2 linked regions of the Rhinolophus ferrumequinum genome follow. The protein of the gene in region 1 interacts with the protein of each later gene in a biochemical or structural test. Links are inferred from orthologs where the notes say so. Each region holds a gene or a part of one and is shown in the gene's direction. Other genes may lie near its edges. The genes, in order: TCERG1 and SF1.

The links.
Region 2: the proteins of TCERG1 (region 1) and SF1 form a complex in vitro, tested with the Homo sapiens proteins (3 studies listed by BioGRID). The link is inferred for Rhinolophus ferrumequinum from reciprocal best matches to the Homo sapiens genes TCERG1 and SF1.

What each region holds. Positions count from the first base shown.
Region 1 is NC_046307.1:19,544,282-19,554,566, forward strand, and holds the start of TCERG1 (transcription elongation regulator 1), read left to right. Parts: upstream 1-6,519; 5' UTR 6,520-6,561; coding exon 6,562-6,620; intron 6,621-10,285. UniProt on the Homo sapiens protein: Transcription factor that binds RNA polymerase II and inhibits the elongation of transcripts from target promoters. Regulates transcription elongation in a TATA box-dependent manner.
Region 2 is NC_046294.1:6,766,391-6,776,600, forward strand, and holds the start of SF1 (splicing factor 1), read left to right. Parts: upstream 1-5,772; 5' UTR 5,773-6,161; coding exon 6,162-6,531; intron 6,532-7,818; coding exon 7,819-7,947; intron 7,948-10,210. UniProt on the Homo sapiens protein: Necessary for the ATP-dependent first step of spliceosome assembly. Binds to the intron branch point sequence (BPS) 5'-UACUAAC-3' of the pre-mRNA. May act as transcription repressor.

The sequences.
Region 1 (10,285 bases):
TGTACTCCATGACAGCGACTTTTGTGTCTTTAGCAGCTATGATAGTTCCTGGCACAATATCGATGTTCATTAAATGTTTGCCAGATGGACAATTAAATGGATTTGCCAAATGGACAAATAAACTATCTCTGAACACCCAATTGGAACGCTTGATCTGATACATTTTTGTAATGAAGAAGTAACGTCTAAAATGGTGAGTTATTGCTATAGCAATACAAAATTATTACCTCATCCCATCCGGAGGCTGGTGTGGTACTTAATGACACCGCAGATGTGGAGTTTTGTAAATTTTAAGAGAGCTTTCAATCAGATTTAAGTGAGGTTCTAGTCCTGTCTCTGCCACTAACCGCGTATGTGACTGTGAGAAAGTTAATAATCGAACTCTCAGGGTCTCTATTTCCTCATCTGCAGACAAAGAATATTGGACGAGATGATCTGAAAGAGTCCTTTCAGCTCTTTAATCAACGTCTTTTGTAATTTCTCCAGGTGATAATTTTGGGGAAATTGTATATGAAAGATAGTATTTGAAATAATTGCATTATAACTGCATCATAAATATCACCTTTGCATAAGGGTTCCTGAGATATTGTTGTTCTTGTTTTAATTTTGAGAAACAGAAAAAAAGTTAATAGTGCGATTTTAGAGTTAAAATGAACTATAAAATACATAATTGTTTTTGATAAAAGAAGAAAAGAGAGAGCCCTGCAGCCCACTTCAGTAGAAGAATAGTGTTGACTTTACACAAGGGATATGATTAACTGCTTATGTTAATAAACCAAGAGACTGTAAATGTGTTATTATGTATTTTGGGACAAATCCAAAGTTCCTGAGAGTTAAGTGAAACTAGTAAAATGCACACACAATGGACTTAGATATAGTCATCTATATTAATAGACCAAGAGATTACAAATGTGTGGTTGATTATTCCAGAACAAATCCAAATTAGCGTAATCTTAGGGAATGTGATTATCATTTAATAAGTGGAAACCTAAGTAATCATATGGTGTTCTATTGGGAAAAAATGTGGCAACAAAACACAGAAGGTCAGCCTAGAGCAGTGTACTCTACTTTCTGGCTCAGAAATCCCAGGTGGTTCATGGAATTATCTTAAGGGTTTGCAAATTCATGAGCCCATCAACCATTCATTGTTGATTGAGTCAGCCAGTGGCGTCAGTAATAAAAATGACTTCCTTTCTGTTTGTTTCCTGTAAAGCAGAATAGAAAAGAACAAGTTTCTTTTTGAATTTTCTTCTAGCTAGAGAAATAGGAAGAGGTTCTGGGTAGGGCAGAGAGTTCCCCAATGCAAGGGTAGGCACAGATGGTCTAAGTGGAAGGTATATCTTTATTTGGAATAGAGAATCATCAGGTTCTCATGACTCAGTGACATTAAAAATTCAAATCCAGTAATTGATTGCCCTTGTTCTACTTCCAATCAGATTTAGCTGCTTTCTGATAATTTTACTTACTCTGTAAGTTTGCCCAGAGAGGAGGGAAATGTATGGTCCACGTGACAGTTGTAATTTTATTTTTTGTAAATTAATAAATTTGCATTCTGGTTTATGGAGATGGGTCTTTATGTGCTCAGTTAAAAGTGAATGTCCTTGACTTTGGGTGCAGCCTTATTTTGCCAGCAAAATCTATTTGGGGGACTGTGAAGCTAGGATTGCAATCCTTAACCTCATGTATTTCCCAAGGTCAAGGGTACATCGGGAGCTCGTTTGGTGCTCCTGTGGCTGCCTTTTCTAGGGGTACCCCTGTGTGCTGCTTGCTTTTATCAATGGGACGAGCAGCTTGTCTAATCCGCTTATCTTGTCGATGGACAGACTAAGTCATACATTATAATATGGCTGTGGTTCCCACCTTCTATTATTTGCATCATGGATTGCTAGCTATCTGGAAGCTTAAAACATATCTAAAAAATGCCTTATTTTTTAATGATTTTGGACTTACAGAAGAGTTGCAAAGTTAGTACAGAGATACTCTGCACCCAGCTTCCCTTAGTGTTAACATATTACTTAGCCATGGTACATTTATCAAAGCTAAGTGGTACGATAGTAAGTAAACTAACTATATTTTATTCAGATTTCCTCGGTTTTCCCCACTAGTGTCCTTTTCCTCTTCCCAGATGCAATCCACGATACCCAATTGCATTAGTTGTCATATTTCCTTTGCTGCTTTAAATCTGTGACAGCTGCTCAATCTTAACCTGTCTTTCACGACTTAGACACTTTTGAAGAGTATTGATCAGATAATTTATAGAATGTCCCTCAATTTGTGTTTGCTTAATGTTTCCTCAGGGTTAGACAGAGGTTATGGATTTTGGGGAAGAATACCACAGAGGTGAAGAGCCCTTCTTATCACATCCTATCCGGGGTGCATGCCATTCCTGAAGATGCTAACCTCGATCACTTGGTTAATATGGCATCTGCCAGGATTCTCCACTGGAAGTGTCACCTCTGTTAGGTAGAGTCACTAAGTTCAACCTGTGATATTGTGGTTTATAAGCAATATGTATTTGGTCATTCAGATCGAAGAAAGAGTGAAGATGGTGAATATATAAAATGGAGTCATTTTAACCAAACTGTTAAAATTATTAACAATATGAAGTTCAGCTGTCGCATGAAGAAAGACTCCATTCTTTTTCTAACTAGCCTGGGAACTTAAACTTTTTTGAATTTTCCAGTCCTGCATCAATGCCTGGATATACATCTGGACCTCCAGGTAACCCTCTATTTAACCCTCTAGTTATCTAGTGTATGTGAAGGACTCACATATACATCCACATGACATCCATTATCCAGACAACCAGGAAGTTACCAGACATCCTGCCACCTATCTTCTGGACCACCTGGCATCCATCATCCAGACTGCCTGACATCTGACTGATACCTGTCTTGGACTAATGCTAGGACTAAGAATGCAAGACTGATAATTTTCAAGAATGTACTGTTTATTATAAGAACTTTTTTCTTTCATCTTTGGAACACTCCTGGGTTTTTGTCTAGCTGTGTTCCCACTTTGCAAACTATAAGACCCTTGAATAAATCTCTATCATGTATTTCTAGCAAAGCCTCCAGACTTTTTTTGAGTTTGTCTGACAAGATGAGCAAAATATATTTCTCATATATATTTGGTCTTTATCCACAATGCCTGGCTTACAGCTCCCTGAACTCTTGGAATCTCCTAAGTGTTGAGAGTGAAACAAATAAAGAAGCTGAAGCTATGAGAAATCAAGTAACTTGCTTGCCCAGGATTACACAGCCATTAGTTAGTAGAGGCAGGACTAGACTCCTCATCTCATTAATTCCAAAGCTGTTAACAACTGCTACCCAAACTGCCTGTGAGGCAGCCAGCAGGTGTATCTGGTCAGGCATTTTCCATTTCTGAGATCTCTTTAAATGTTTCAAAGACCAATATATCCAGTAAGGAGTAATATAGCTGCACAGTACAGTCGACAGTGCTGGCCTTACATGTGCATGCATACTTCACTAGGGGCTGGAGATTCGGTGAGGAAAGTAGAGAGTCTTTTAAAAGTATTTACAGTCTACAGAAAAGAGAAAGAAATGATACATTAGCTATGCTACCTTTCTGGCTTGAGTGAGACAGGGATTTAGCTGTCCCCAATTGGCTTTGGTGTGAGATACACCTGCCCTTGAATCCTAGCTTCACCTCTTATTACCGGTGTGAATGCCAATTTGCACCAGTTATGTAATGTCTCTGAGCCTCAGCTTCCCCATATGTAAAATGCGGGACAATATGTGTGCCTTAAAGGGCCGTTAAGGGTATTAAAAAGAGTGTGTGCAAAATATCTACCATGGGTTTAAGATAGGTGTTCAAAAATGGTAGTTATTAAAAAGAAAAGCCTGATTCAGCATTGGAACCTCTTCTCAAGAGTCACTTCTGAGGAGTGACTTCATAGCCAGGACTTAGAGCCTTGATGATATTAATTTGTCTTAAGCCAACCCTGTTTCTTTACCTCACTTGGTATACTAAGTTTTGGGGTCTATAATTCAATTGCCGTCAATTGGGCAAGGACAGTATTTGTTTTTCTGTTCTCTATAGCTATGCACATTTTTAGTACCCTGAGATATATCAAGCTTTGATGACAGGAAAATCCATTTGGTTTTTTAAAAGATATTATACATTGAGTCTCTTTAATTATTTTCTTCACGTTGATTCAATAAAATGGTTCACTGTAGACACAGCTCAGATTAGATATTTGCGGTATTTTTATATAGCTATTGAGTACTGAATTTCAAGGATATGTTTATGTGAGTAAACTACAGCAATGAAACACTGAAATGATTTTCTATATATGTATATAATCATATGCATATACATAGTCACATGTATACAAGCCTGCTCTATATAAAAATAATACAAGATATAAATATCTTAAAATATATATAGATATACAAACACAATGCAATTATCAAATAATAAAACTTTTATTACATCTGCAAGGAGTTTCTTTCATTCATTCAAACTGACTGTTTTCATCTTTTATGTATGCCTTTGACAGGATTTCTATAAGGGATCCATTTTGAATTTTTTTTTCCAGCACTGGGGATTAGTTTTTTATGAGCTTCAATACCAGTATTATTTTTTGAGTAGTTTGGCAGTACTTGGGGATGCATGCTGATGTTGAAAAAAGGGATTTAACCTCCCACTCTTAATCAGACTCCGGTTTTTCAAATGTCATATATTTAATGAAATTTCAATCATCTTTTCCTTCTCCAATTTCTTATGCTCAAAACTGTGTTCAGTTCTTATCATATTTTGTCACATTTAATTGATTTTGAATATTTAACTGGGATTCAGCATAACATTGTATTTACTGAATTATAATTCACATACAATAAAATTCACATTTTAAAGTGTATAATGCAATGAGTTTTAGTATATTCACCAACTTGTGCAATCATCACCACTATCTAACTTCAGAACATTTTCATCAACCCCACAGAAATCCCATACCCATTAGCTATCACTCTCTCCTTCTCCTGGAAACCACTGATCTACTTTCTGTCTCTGGGGATTTGCCTATTCTGGACACTTCATGGAAATGGAATAACACAATATGTATCTTTTTGTGTCTGGCTTCTCACTTTGCATAATGTTTTCAAGGTTCATCCATGTTAAAGCATGTAGTGGTGCTTCATCACATTTTATGGCTGAATAATATTCCTTTGTATGGATATACCATGTTTCTTTATTCACTCATCAGTTGATTTGATGTTTGGGTTGATTCCACGTTTGGCTATTAAGAATAATGCTGCTATGAACATTTGTGTATGAGTTTTTGTATGGATGTATGTTGCCAATTTTCTTGGCTCAGGATGTTTAGAAATAAGGCTTTGCTGTTATTATTGCCTTGTCTGCCATTTACAAGCCACGTGAACTTGGACAAGTTACTTTTCTGTGCCTCAGTCGCATTTATAAACTATGGCCATTCATAGTACCCACGTCTCAGTGTTTTTGAGGTCTAAACGACAGAATGCGTGCAAAGTACTTAAGATAGTTCCCAGTATTTATAGTTAGGTCTGAGTAAATTTATTTTAATATTTTGAGCAACTTAATAAGGTTTATCTTCATTGTGCCTTTGAAACCCCAGAGCCTAAAGTATTTTTTGTGTTTTTTTTTTCCTTTAATAAGAAATAAATATTCAGAATTCCTTCTGGGTATTAGGGTGTGCTAATTTGAGACAAGTGTATTTTAAAATTGAAGAACAGATGCTTTAAACTGTAAATTGTGATGAAGAGGCTTATGTTCCCCAACTTATCTTAATGCACCAACTTTTAACACTCATCAGCCTACAACTAATTATTTAATATAATTTAGGAGGTATTCTTGTACCGTGTTTCCCTGAAAATAAGCCCGGGTCTTATATTAAGTTTTGCTCCAAAAGACACATTAAGATTCATGTTCAGGGGATTTCATCCTGAAAAATCATGTTAGGGCTTATTTTCTGGTTAGATCTTATTTTCGGGGAAACACAGTAGTTAACTAATTTATTATTTAATAACGTGGCTATAATCTGGTAATGGTTTAAGACTCCTTGTTCTGAAGAGTTGGGAAATAGCTCATTTTCACAGCAACTCTGTGATTGGTCTAGGCATGACTCAGGTCGATTTTTAATTGGCTCACGCAATAGAAATGGTCTCGGACTGAACCAATATCGCCAGTATGTGGCCAATATGGCTCCACAACTGGTTTTCCTGGAAGCCGGCAGACACGTGGCTACCGCAGGCCGTCAGTACGTGGGAGGACCTAGTTTTGCCTACCACCAGAGGGCGCCCGCAGTTCCTCGTTGCTTAAGTCTCATTTCCCATAAAGCCTCCGGGCGACCAATCAACCGGCTGTCTCCTTACCGCTTTCAAAGTCGGCGGGCGCTTTCACCAATAGTAAGGCAGATGCCGCCCTCAGCTCTAGGATTGATGGAAAGTATCACCAATCATTTCACAGATCCCTAATGTCTCCGCCTCTCTCGCACGGGATTGATGATCCGTCCGGCCAATAGTGGACGTCGAGTCGGCGGGTGGATGAACGCGGCCCTCTGTAATGGCGGAGCGTGGCGGGGACGGGGGGGACGGTGAGCGATTCAACCCGGGGGAGCTCAGGTAAGGGGCCCCGCTCTTTATTACTTCTCAGCATGCTGGAGTCCCGGGATGGGCCCGCCGCGCGAAGATGAGGGGTGGAGGGTGGGCAGAGGAGCCGCGGCGGCTCGGGGCCAGGACCGCATGGGGTTGGAGAAGGGGGAAGGGGAAGGTGGCTTGAATGAGAGAGCCGGGCTGGGACTGGGCCGCGGCCTCCTGCGTGTTCTCGGGGAGCTCCTTGTGGTTTTCGCGGCCCCAGCGCTTCTGGCGGCTGCGGCCGGGAGGCCGGGCCAGACATTCCCGCCTCGGGGCCCCTCCTCAGCCTCATGCCCCCTCCGCCTCGGCCCACCACAGCCTCCCTCTCGGCTCGCGCCTCCGCGGGCCCGCTTTGCCTTACGGACACCTCTCCACTCCGCAGTTAACTCCCTGAGACCCCTCACTACTTCTGACTCAGCCTTCTCCACGCCCTACGCGGCCCTTTGGAGGTTTCTACTTTTGCCCGGTTCCTTCCGTACGTCGCTTGCTCTTAATGTCTTGTGGCTTTTCCTCTAATCTTTTTATCCCGTATCCCGTATTTGTGAATAATAACAATAGCAGCCACCGTTTGTCACTTACTTCTATATGCCAACGAGCCCTTTACTTAGAGTTGTCTCATTTAATCCTCACAACCGACCTTCGGAGTAGTTGCTTTTCGCATTTTGCATGCCACAGACCAGAGCCACCTTAAGTTACTCGTAAGTCCATTTTACAGGTGAGAAAACTGAGACTGGCATAGGTTGAGGAAGTAGAAGAACAAGGTCTCATAGGTGAAACTGTGGCTCCTGGAAATGGCTTGAACCCAGACAGTCAGGCTCCAGAGCCTGCAGCCTCAATCGCTGTGTCTGCTCACGCCTTCGCCCTAAAGAGTACAGTGAGCTTTCTTCTTCTGGTGTCTCATTGCCTATGGAATTTTCTAATTAAGATTTGGGAAAGTGAAAGTGTCTTGGAAAAGTCTTTAGTCAGTGGTTTTTGAGGAAAAAGAGGTACTAAGCTTTATGTATCTTTGATACATTTTTTTTTTTTCCGTGGATGGGGAAAAATGTCATTTCAGATGTTCAGCTCCCATTCTGAATTGTGCCATTGTCAGCATTTGAAACTAAAACAGACCAGTGTAGGTTACGAGCAGTGTATAGTACTGTCTAGAGCTCAAGATGAAATTGTATAAAAAATGAGCTCAAGGTTTTAGGGCAAAAATATATATATATAATGGCTTTTAGTTTCTGAATTGTCACACACAAAAATCCTTACTTTGGCAGGAGTAAAATTTTGTCTTACTTCAGAGATGAATCTCAAATCCTTTAAACCCCACGTTTTTACTTTAGTAATGAGTGATCAGTGTGCACTGCCAGGGCTTTTCTGTATCAGTGGTGGAAGGTTTATTCCTGACTCTGATCTCAAGAGAAGGATACTTAGCTAGTTTCATATGGATTTACGTGGGAACAGTACTTTGCGTTTTTGAGTATCTTTCTTCAGCTTTACAAGGAGTAGCCTTTTCATTTTATTAATAGTCATTCAGACTTTGTACTAAACTGATTTGAATATGTCCTTAAATTAGATGTTTTGTTGCAAATATGTAGCCTCTTGGGTTGGAGGTTGCTTCCAGAGCATATTGTACAGACCTTTATTTCAGCATTTCTCATGGTTTAAGAGAAATTAGCTGTTTATCTGGCCTCTTTGATGGTAGAAATTGGGGCTTAGTGTTTGTATTTGTATCCTGAAAGTATTTCGTTGTGTGTCTGTCATAGTACCTAGCAAATAAGGTGTTCAGTGAATATATAGTAAACAAAGGAATATAGGTGATTTTGAGATGGTTCACTTAGTAGACCCATGAATGTGTGCTATGTGCAGTCACCGACCTAGGTGACTTGAACTAGACCAAAATCCTTTGTCCTCAAGGAGCTTCCATGCTAATTAAGATTGTTCTAAATTCTGAACTAATCACATCCAATGAGGAAATCATCCTGCAAGTTTGAAGTGACTTGTACAAGGTCACTGAGTAATTGGCAGAGTCTGGATTAAAACCGAGGTCCCTTCCCACATGTCAGCAGCACTTTTCCATTTTTGCCCCGCCTATTAAACTATTTGCAGTTTTGTCTTCACCATTGGGGAGATTGCATATGTGGATAGAGTACTTCTAGAGAAACACATTTGTTCTTGTAAAAAAATTTTTTTGTTTCTATTTATGCGGTAGGCTTCTGTTTTCTGAAAAGGTTTTAAGTAATAGGAATGCAAATAACTTACAATAGACAGAATTTATTTGGAAATCCAAATGCCATTGATCTCTTTATGGTTGAGGGCCATTAAGATAACTTTTAGCATCGTATTTGTAAAGATTCTTTACCCAGGGCCTTTGTTTACTTATTAATACTTCGTGACTTGTGACAGGGTACTTGCAGTCTAAATTTCCTCAATTGTAAAATGGGAATAAGAATACACTAGTGTTACCATTGACTGCTGCCATAAACAAGTTATTTTTCTGTGCCATAGTTTCCTCTGTAAAAATGGTGCCAAACTTACCTCTTTGTGTTGTTGTGAGGATTAAAAGAGTTAGTACATATAATGTCCATGGATATATATCCATGCCTAGTATATAGGAAGTACCTAGTGTTTGCTATCATTATTAAAAAAATATTTGAACACTTACCATCCTCGGCACTGGGATGCCGCAGTATACTAAGGGAAAACTATGTATTAGTGAGTGGACTACAAACGTAAACAGTGAGAGATTTCTTCATAGCATTTATCGTACGTAATTGAAAACTCGAATTGGGTAATGAGCCACAGAGGGTCTGCGAGAGGCCAGGAGGGGGGAAAGAGTTTGAGGTAACACTTGAACTGAGACTGATAATGAAAAGGAGCCAGTTATGTAAGGAGCTGGGGAAAAGCATTCCAGGCAGAGGGAACAAGTGCAGAGGCTTCAAGGTAACGAAGTATTTGATCATAAAGAAGACTAGAATCTGTAGAGAGGTCAAAAAGGGACAAATTATGTAGAGCCTGGTAGTAATAATTATAGTAATAATAATAGCTGCCACTATTACTAATACTAACGCCATTTAACACTAATACTATTACTGCTATACTAATGTTACAGCAACAGTAATAAAAGCTAATACTTACAGAGCACTAATGTGCTAGGCATTGTTCCAAGTACTTTATTAGCTCATTTAATCCTTACTGCAGGTTCTGGTAGGTTGGTTGTGATGGAGCAGTGTTTATAAAGAGCTATACATCTGGCATCAGAAAATGGCACCTTTTAGGCTGCCGATGGAGGAAATTGTGTGAATTTTGTCACCATTTTAATGTCAGACTTTTGAAAGCCATCTAGTCAAACTGACAACTAAGTGCCTTTTACATGTAGAGCACTGTGCTAGGTTTTGTAGGGAAATCAAAGTTGAGATAGTTAAAGTGGTTTACTGCGTATCAGGTACTGTCCTAAATTTTTCACGGGGATTAGCTCATTGAACAGAGATATGAGATAGGTTTTATTTCTATTCCTTCGCTAATTTACATCTGAATATACTCAGACTCAGAAATTATGTAACTAGTCTGACAACAAAAGGCAGAGCCATGATTTGACTTTTCGTGACTCTAAAGCCGAAACACTTAATTCAAGCTATATCTAGGAAGTGTGAAATTCTAAAGAAATACTG
Region 2 (10,210 bases), on another chromosome or scaffold:
CAGGACCAGGGCTGCAGAGGGCTGGAAGGCCCTGGATCTAGGTAGAGTCTGAGCAAAGGCCCAGGGGCCAGCTCTCGAGTTTGGCCCAATCTCCCTTCTGATATTCAAGGCAAGTGTTTGAGTAAGAACTTCTCTACACCTGGTTGGCCATTGGGAAATATTTGACACATTTAAATATAAAGCACATTTAAGTGAACGAAAAGATAAGTGGGTGAGTGGTGGGTAGATGGCGACTTACGTGAAGCAGCAGCAGCATCCCCGTCCCAAGGGCCCCAGGCAATTCCATGGTTGTCGTAGTGTCCCCTCGTCCACACTCCAGCAGAGCCCCAGCTGCTCTGACTACCAGTGCCTGGGTTTCTCAGCTGAAATGGGGGTGAGGCCAGGGGAGGAGACAGCCCCTGTGCACTGGCTCAATGGAGGTTGGGAGGGACCTTCCAAGTTCTGAAGGTTTGTCTGCTCCACCTGCAGGGCATTCCATAGGCCAAATGGCGGGGTGACAGGGATATGATTTCCAAATTCCAATTTTTCAGATTTCTTGATAGAAGTGGGAGGTGAGCGGGATCCCTATCAGCAGAGACTCTGATCCCAGGTACCCAGGGACTGATCGGCCCCCAGAGCACCAAGCAGCAGACAGCGCCACCTTGTGGCAGGCTGCCGCAGCTCTGAGCAGCCACCCTTGTCTGAAAAGGTGGTGGTGGGGTTGTCAGAGAGTAATTTGCCTAAATCTGGGATCTGAGAAAAGCAAGAGCCTCTGATAAAATATTGGCTGCCAGAAAAGGCTGGCCAGAAGCCAAAGAAAGATCAAGAAGCCAGGGAATATGCCCTGAGAGACTAAAATTATTTTATTTATGTATTTTTTAATAGGTAGCCCTTGCGTATGGTAAACAATTTTAAAAAAATGCAAAATAGGTACTATGAAACGTCTCCCACTCAGGTCCCAGTTACTTCTGAAGCCTTCTGAAGTGTTTATGCATATGTAGCGGTCCTGTATGTTTCATTCTTCCCTCTTTATACCATGGTCTAACATAATCACACGCACTTTGCATCTTGGTCTTTAAAATCTACCCTGGAGAGCTTTCCATGATCAGTACCTCCCCCTTTGTTGTTTTATAGTCAGTGGTATTCCATTGTATGTATTTCCCATAACGTTAATTTACTGTCATTAGATCCCGATTGATGAAATTTTATGTTGTTTCTATTACTTTGATATTACAAATGACACTGCAATAAATATTCTTATGCCAATGCCCCTCTATATATTCAGGTGTCCTCTAGGGCCAATTCCTGGAGTGGCATTGCTGTGTCAGAGGGGGCCCTGTGTGTCCTTGTGATAGCTACTGTCAAATTGCCCTCCCTGGGCGGAAGCTTCCGGGATGGGTCATATCAGCTTCTCTCGGCCATCCTGTGGGTGAGTGGAAGAGGCGTGGGCACCTCAGGGTGTTTGGGGAGCTGGCCCATACACCAGTTAAGTGAGGGTCAAAAGGAGAACCACCACGAGAATGTGGCCATGTTCACTGGCATGTCCAGCAGTGGGACACTGCTTGCTGCACAGCAGGCCCTTGGGCTTGCTTTCCGAGGGAAGGAATGAGCGTGGTGTGGTGAAGAGGAGGCCCTGGGGTCAGGCCCCTGGACTGGGCGAGCTTGCTGAGCTGCATTTTCCCAGGTACATATCCTAAGTCTGCCTGCAGGGCTGTTGGGAGGATTGAAAATAATGGTAATATACAAAATGCAACAACACAGATGCATCTTGGGTAATGCCAAATTAAAACAGCAAGTTACATAAAATTACACACAGTATGATAGCAAGTCTAAACCACTTCTAGTTGGTGATAGATGCACATGTGAAAAAACTCCATTAGATCAGAAGCAGCACAAAATTCAAAATGATGGTCCCTGGGGGGAGAATGAGAGTGGGGTAACACAGGACCCCAGGAATTTGCAGAGGTATTGGTAATATCTTGGTTGTCAGGCTGGGTGGTAGGTTCACAGGTGTTCAATTAATAATTCAATTCCTAACTCACATAAGGTACACACATCCTTTTGTTTGTATCAAATACTATGTAATAAAACATTTAAGTTTAAATATTTTAAAGTAATCACTCAAAAATGAAAGCTCGATAATGGCTTAAAAAAAAAAAAGCAAAAAAATATAATGCCAAGATAATCCTTTCCTAGATAGTGAAATCAGTATTCTGTGTAGAACTGTGGGCAGATCCCTTTCCCAGTAGTTGCTTTCTTCTATAGTTTCTTTTTAAAAACAGCTTCATCAAGGTATAATCAGCATATAATAAACTGCATATATTAAAAATGTACTATTAAAAATATACTGACACATACACCTGTGAAACCATTACCACAATCAAGATAGCAAACATCTCTGACATCCCCAAAAGCTTCTTCTGCTCTTTGTAATCACACCCTCCAGCTTCTCCTCACCTCCCCATCCCCACGTAACCATTGATCCGCTTTGTGTCACCATAGATGCATTTGCATTTTTCAGAATTTACATAAATAAAATCATACAATATGTCCTCTGTTCTTGTCTGGCTTCTTTCACTGAGCACCATTATTGAGATTCATTCATGTTGTTGCATGTAACAGTCATTCCTTTTTTATTGCCAAGTAGTATTCTCCTGTGTGTATGTACCACAGTGTTTAGCTAGTCACCTGTTGAACATGTGGGCTGTTTCCAGTTTTGGACTATTATAAATAAAGCTATAAACATTTGTGTACCTGTCTGTGTGGCTGTATACTTTCACTTCTCTCAGTAAATACTATGGACAAAAAAGGGGCTTGGTAACAAACCTGATCACAGGGTGATCTGATCATAAATTCCTAACTGGGAAGATCACAGTGGGTAGTCATATAACTTCTTTACTAAAAGGTTTTTCTCTGCCTTAAGCCAGCCCTGTCCATCATTCTTGTGCATCGAGGTTAACACATCTTTGAAATGCCTCTTTTCCAGACCCCTCAGAGGTGTAATCACCCTCAAGAGAGCACATAATCTTAACAACGCCCGCTTTGCTTTCTCCCACCTTCACGTACTCTTCCTTACCTTTCTTCCTTAATTCCCAATGTATAAAAGAAACTGCAAAACTGTCATTCTCCAGAGCATTTTCTCAGTCTGTTGAGATCTTGCTTCCTGGTGTCGATGTAAGAATGTCCAAACCTGGGGCAGCCAAATTGCTCGGTTGGTTAGAGCATGAGCTCTGAAAAGGGTTACCAGTTCAATTCCTACATGGGCCAGTGATCTGTGCCCTCCACAATTAGATTGAAGAAACTGAGCTGCCTCTGAGCTGCCGGAGGCGGGACCAGATGGCTTGGTTGAGCGTGAGCTTGCAGTTCAATTCCCCCAATGGGATGGTGGGGATGGCTACGCCCCCTGCAACTAAGATTGAAAACAGCGACTGGACTTGGAGCTGAGCAGCGCCCTCCACAACTAGATTGAAGGACAATGACTTGGAGCAGATGGGCCCTGGAGAAACACAGTTTCCCAATATTCCCCAATGGAAAAAAACAATGTCCAAACCTGCAGAGAATTTCTGAGTTTATTTGAGCCAACTGACAACATGCCAGGAAGCAAGATTTCAAATGCTCCATATATATGTTACATATGTTACATATAATACATGTTTTATATATATGTTATACTGCACCCTTGTATAAAATCAGGAGGCATCTGATTTTAAGCCCTGAGTGATTTTCTGGAAGGCAGAAACTGAGTTTCTCAGCTCCTCGGTAAAATTTGTTGTATTTACTAAATAAATTAATTTTTCCTTCAAAGTATGATTTAAACGTTATATTTTTGCTTTCCTGTCCACAATATTAGCTTTGTATTTTATTATATAAATACTTGTTCAGTATAATTAGAATAATATACAGAAATAACAGGAAAAAAGGAAAAATTACCTGAGATCCCACCACCACTGGAAATTTGGTGATTGTCCTGTAAATGCATTTCCTTATATGTTATGTAAATAGGATCATGTCATACATTTTTAAAAAGTATGAAGCACATTTTAAAAATACACTAGGTTCTTAAAATGTTTCAGATTAACTTCCAGGTACCCTTTTCCCTCTCCATTGTCTTCACTGATAACGTGTGCTGTGTATCCTACCATAGCTTTGTCTGTACTCATATAATCATTGCAAACATGCACACGCATATATATGGGGTTTGTTTGTTTTACCAAAACAAGATCATATAATGCGTATTTGCTTTTTTTCCCTCATTTAAGAATAAATACAGCACATTAGTCCCTGTAGGTCAGTTGGTATAAACTAACTGCTTTTCAAGGCTGCCTAATTCCAGGTTATGGATATTACAGTTTGTTCAACCATTCACATATGGATGGAAACTGATTCCAGGTTTTTGCCATGAGAATATATTACATTATATAATCACAGGCCTTACTTTGGGGCAGATTCCCACGAGAGGGATTGCTACATTGAAAGGGTTATTATTTTTCCTGAAAGGGGTACAATTTTAATAGACAACAGAATGCTTTCCAAAAAAGAACTTCACAGTAGTAGGTGTCAGCACATTTGTCTTTAGCTCTTTTAATGGTTATATAAAGAGTTTGCTCATTATCACCTTAATTTGCATTTCCCTGCTAAGGGGGTTGGTATCCTTTCATGTTTTTGGCTATTTGTTCTTGCTTTTCTAAGACTTCCCTATTCAGTCTTTGCTCGTTACCTATTGATTTTGTCTTTTTAAAATTAGTTTTGAAGACCTTTCATATTAAAGATATTAACTCTATCACGTGTGGCAATTATATTTTTCTGACATTTTCTTTTGAATTTTATCACTTTGAATTTCTTTGGTAATCAAGTATATCTTCTCTTTATAGTTCGAGTTGCCTGTCTTCATAAACTCTACCCCTAGATTACGCCTCATAAATTGTATTGTCTGTTTTATGGTTTAGATTCAAGATTCCATACCATTAGCTAAAACTTACGGAACTGAAACCACCTTTGTGGTATTCTTACCAGTATATTGGTAATCTATATCCAGACTTTATTCTGTGCCACTTATCTGTCTTTCCTACATCATTCTTGTGTCTTTCATACTGTGTTACCTGGAAAGGCCAGCTCCTCCTCAATCTTGTTTACAAGTTTGCCCACTATTTTCAGTTATTTTATATGATTTTAAGATGACTTAATTAACCACCACCCCGCTGAGACTTTAATGGAATTGCATATGTGTAAACTAATTTTAGAATTGACTTTATGTTCTTTTCCACATAAAATTGTGTTGTTCCATCGGCTCAGGTGTTTTTAATCCTTCAATTAGACTATAGCTTTTTCCCCCCTTTTTATTTTTGTTCAAAGAAAACAGGAAGTCCTTTTTTACCTGCGGCGTCAACGGATCCGGTTTACGGGCACGCGCCGGCCCCACCCCTAGCCCGCGGTTCCGTGTTACCATGGGAATCGAGGATTGACGTCACTTTGGGCTTTCCGCTCCGGACCCAGTGAACAACCGTGAAGGTAGGGGCGGAGGCGGCTTTGACCCATCTACGCATGAGCGCTCCTACTCCACTCCTCCCCGCCGTAAATTTCGTACCGCCGTGGCTTTTCCGCAGCGACCTTTCGCTTACTCCCATCGAAACTGCTCCCCAGGGACGGGGAGTGGAAAAAGACTCGAACAAGAGACAGCCAATCCTATGACACTACGATGCAACCGAGTTTGACTGATTCCATCAACTGCAGCCAATGAGAGCGCTCTTGGCGCCTACGTCATAGTTTGCCCCACCCTAACCCCGCCTTTCTGGACTCCGAGCTCAGTTCGCGCAGTAACAAATGAAGTGCGCGCTGCGACACCTCCCAGCTCGCCAGGCTCGGCCGCCATTTCCTCGCCTGGCCTAACGGTCCGGCCAATCCCAGCGCGCATCGAGAAGGACTGAAGCTCCGCCAATTGGAGGCTGCCAATTCCGACCCTTTGCCTCGGCCCGGCCCAATCCAGGCTTCTGCCCCTTCGCCCCCGGCCCGCCCCCGCGGCGGCCTCTCTCCTCCCTCTTTGTGCGTCTCGCGCCGCCGCCGCCCGCCGCGTGAGAGGACGGGTTCCGCGCGCTAGCGCTGCGACTCCCTCCCCCCCTCCCCGAAAGATTCGCTAAGGAAAAGCCGCCGCCGAGGAGCCGCCGGTGCCGGTCCCCCGGGGCGCCATGGCGACCGGAGCAAACGCCACGCCGCTGGGTAAGCTGGGCCCCCCCCCCGGCCTTCCCTCCCTTCCCGGGCCCAAAGGGGGTTTCGAGCCGGGGTCACCGCCTGCCCCCAGACCTGGGGCGGAACTGCTGGTACCCAGGCCGCTACTTCCCCCGCCCGTAGGCTCGGTGGGGGCCCTGACCGCGGCCTTCCCGTTCGCGGCGCTGCCTCCGCCGCCGCCCCCCCCACCGCCGCCACCGCCCTCCCCGTGCTCCTCGTACCCGCCGCCGCAGCCGCCCTCTCCGCCGCCGCTCTACCAGCGCGTGTCGCCGCTGCCACCCCAGCCGCCGCGTCAGGACCAGCAGCCGGGCCCGGCCGGCGGCGGAGGAGGTGAGTCGGGCCGAGAGAGCGCGAGAGGCGTCGTGCGGACGGGCCCGGCCGGCGGAGGGGCGCGCGGCAGCGGTGACGGCGGCGGCTGCACGCGGCAGGGGCGCGCGCGCGCACGGGGAGGCCCTGGCGGAGGCGCTACAGGGCGCGCGGCCTGGTTTTCGGGCCTAGAGTGTTGCGCACGCGCTCTGGGAGAAGGGGGGGCGGATCAGGGCGGGAGGTTTGCTGTGCGCAGGCGCGGTGTGCGGCCCGACCAAACCTGGGGGGCCCGCTGTTGCTCTCTAGCCCCAGGTGTAGGGGAGAGGTGTGGAAGGGTTCGAGTAGGTGGACAGGGTGTTTGTTGGGTGTGCAGGTCAGGAGGGTGTGAAAGGGTCAAGTGATGACGTGGAACATCCTCTTCCTGGTGGTAGAGGAGTCTGAAAGAGAGAAAAGTACCCAAAATAGCTCGTCGATTTCGGCTGCAAAGCAGGGTTTTTCCACTACAGAGAACAAAAGAGGTTGAAAGTCTTCAGGGCCTAATGGGGTCCAATCTGTTGTGTCTGTTGAGGGAGCTTCTGTTTTTTGCCTGACTTTCCTTCATGTACCTTAGAGGATTCTGGTATACCTCCCCCTCGTTGGGGCTTCCACCTGGGACGCTGAACAACTTGTGTGTGTTAAATGTAGGGGATTTCTGCCTTTGTATTGAGGAAGGAGGTTTTGAGTGTTGTGTACTTTGTTCTTTGTTGAACGTTTGGTAGTCAAGACACTAAGTTCCCAAATAGCCAGGAAAATTGAATGCTGATCTTGACTAAACTTCGGAAGACAAAAGTGATCTTGTTGAAGAATCCAGCCCTAGGTTTAGTTGTGCTAAAGGTGACTGGTGGGGGTGTGGAGGTGGGAGGGGCCAGCAATCCTCCAATATAACTTGACAAATTTGTTTGGTTATTCATTCTATTCTTACCTTCCCTGGGGCTTTTAAAGCATTCGTGGGTGATGTAGTATTTATTTTGTCAATACTTTTATTTCTCTGTCTGAAATTTCATGCATTAAGATTTATTACCTTGTTTACATACTTCACAGAGTTTCTCTGAAATGTTAACTTTTCGGAACCAGGTCCAGGTCCCCTTGTAGTGGCCATATGTGTCTGATTTTTTTAGGTTGGTCTTGGTCTTCTGTTCTTCGCCACTTCCATTGTAGGTCAAGCTCTGTTTCCCAGTCTGCTGAGACTAATGTCACAAATATGCCAAATTGCCTGTTGATAGCTACTCTGCTGGTTTTTGTTTGCATCTGATGGAGTTTATCTGCCTTCAGACTTCCCAAGTAAGAAGCGGAAGAGGAGCCGGTGGAACCAAGACACAATGGAACAGAAGACCGTGATTCCAGGAATGCCTACAGTTATCCCCCCTGGACTTACTCGGGAACAAGAAAGAGCTTATATAGGTAAATACACGTTCTGCACCCAAGTGCAATTTCAGATCGTTACTATTGTGAGCAACATTTTATCTGTGGAAAGTTGGAGGCTTTAAAGTTTTCTTTTTTGAGATGAGATATGGTCAGGTATGCTTTCACGATTTTGACATAATTTTTCAGTTTTTGCTCTGTGAGTCCTGCATTTGCAGCTCCTTGTTTTGGTCTATGTATAACAGCAGTGTTCTCCATGAGTTCCAGGAAAGTAGAGGGGCCCACTTAGGAGTGAGAATAGTCCCCAGTTCAGCACCCCACCCCACTCTTTTCAGCTGCTGTTCATTGCCAGTTGATGAGGTGAGTGTCTCCTGCTTCTCTGCACACGACCCCAATGGAGAACACTGCAAGTGTTGCATAACCAAGTACCTTCTTCAGAGCGTGGCCTTGCACCATAATTTCATATTCCTCCTTTCCCCTAAAATGTGGTCTTTTACTTTTTATAGGTGCTTTCTGAAAGGAAAAAAACTCACTTTAATCAAAAAGTGGTTCTGGAAGTGTTTACAGTGCACCCCCTTCTTACCATTTCGTTGAGTTTTAACCTTTCCTTCAGCATCTTGCCTGGTTTGGTCTTTGGAGAGCTGTCTTAAAATGAGGGCTCTTATATTTACTACGAAAGAATTCAAAGAATTCTGCTGGGAAAGGGATATTGCTTGGATACGGAATAAGTTACTAGGATAAAAGATCTCAACTGTTGGGAAATTTTAAGAATTAAGAATGACTGTCCACAGTGGAAATGAAATTAACCTTAAAATTTCCTTTTTTAAAATACAAGGTTATTAATACAAGTTTTACTTTTATTTATGTACTTGTGCGGCTGTCTCAAAAAAGTTCACTTGATATATATTTTCTTACTAACCAAATAAACATCCCCTTTGGAATAAATTAGGGCAAAGGTCTCCTAGACCTATGGGTCCATGGCCTTCACAAAAAGCTTTAAGGCTGGCATGTTATTCTTGAGGCTCATAATCTCTTACATGTTTTAGACTGCTAAGAATTGGATTTGAGATACTGGAATTGTCTAATGTTCACAGTACTAATATTTCTTCTTTCCCTATTATTTCTATCTACTACCACCCACCCCCTTACGTCTCAGATTGGTCTGGGTCTTCACAACCTTGTGAAAATGTCCCTAGTGGAGCGACTTACAAAATGGGAAAACAAATTCATTCTTTATATGTCCACTTCTCTTCTTGTGGAAGGAGTTAATGCCCTGAGCTCTAAGGTCTATTTATATCTATAATAAAAGTAGCAAGAATCAAAGTGGAGGCTGCTATGGATCTCTGCTGTAAGGAAGAGAGCAACCTTTTGATTTAAGTGCCAGTTATTTCCTGAGATCAGACTCCAAGCCCCTATAATCTGGTTAAGAGGACTGCTGACCCACCGTGAAGGTGACTTTCACCTTGCGTTGTTGAGCTTAGTACTTGCCCTCCGTGTCAGAACTTCTCTGGCATAAAAGAGCTTAGGGAGCCCTGAGTCTTACTCCTCTTCTGTCTCTCACAGTACACACTGTCTTGTACAGAGTGCCCACCATATCTTCTGAGAGCGATGTGGGTTTTCATATTTTCAGTTTGAATGGGTGTGTGGTGCAGCCCTGTGGGATGTAGTTAGAATTAGAAGGGTATCTTGGATTAGACATGCATTAATCCTGTCTTGAACCAGTTCAACTTTAACCCAACCCAGTAAGACTTGCCCTTATTAGAGATGTCTGCTCAGAACTCTCAGGTGCTACAGGTAAGAAACAGGTGGTTATTCAGCACGCTGAAGAAAGTGATCTGGCTCAGCAAGTCCCATTATCATGAGAAATCAGCCAGATAACATTTCCCTGCAGTCACTGAACTTCTGTGCAACCCTCATCTCTTTCATGTGCAGCCTCATGTGTCAATGTCTGAGGGCCACATACTTTCTCCTTGACCCACACTTTCCATCCTCTACACTCCCGCTCTTACTTCCACATAAGGAGCAAGACTAAAAACAGACTTCTTGCATCTCAGTGTTACTGGTGTATTAAGGTATCTGGATTGTCATCTAAAATTTGAATGAAAACAGGTATTGGGAGATCCCTACTAGTATGGACCTGGTTGTACAGAAAGAGTATGTACAAATTTCTGTGAGGTATTGAATTGGTTATTAAATGTCTTAAGGAATTTTAAGCCTGGTATCAATGTAAATGATCTTTGCTCAACTGGTATTTTTCCTTGTCCCATGTTAATTGGGTTTCATTTTGGGCTATGCTTAATAT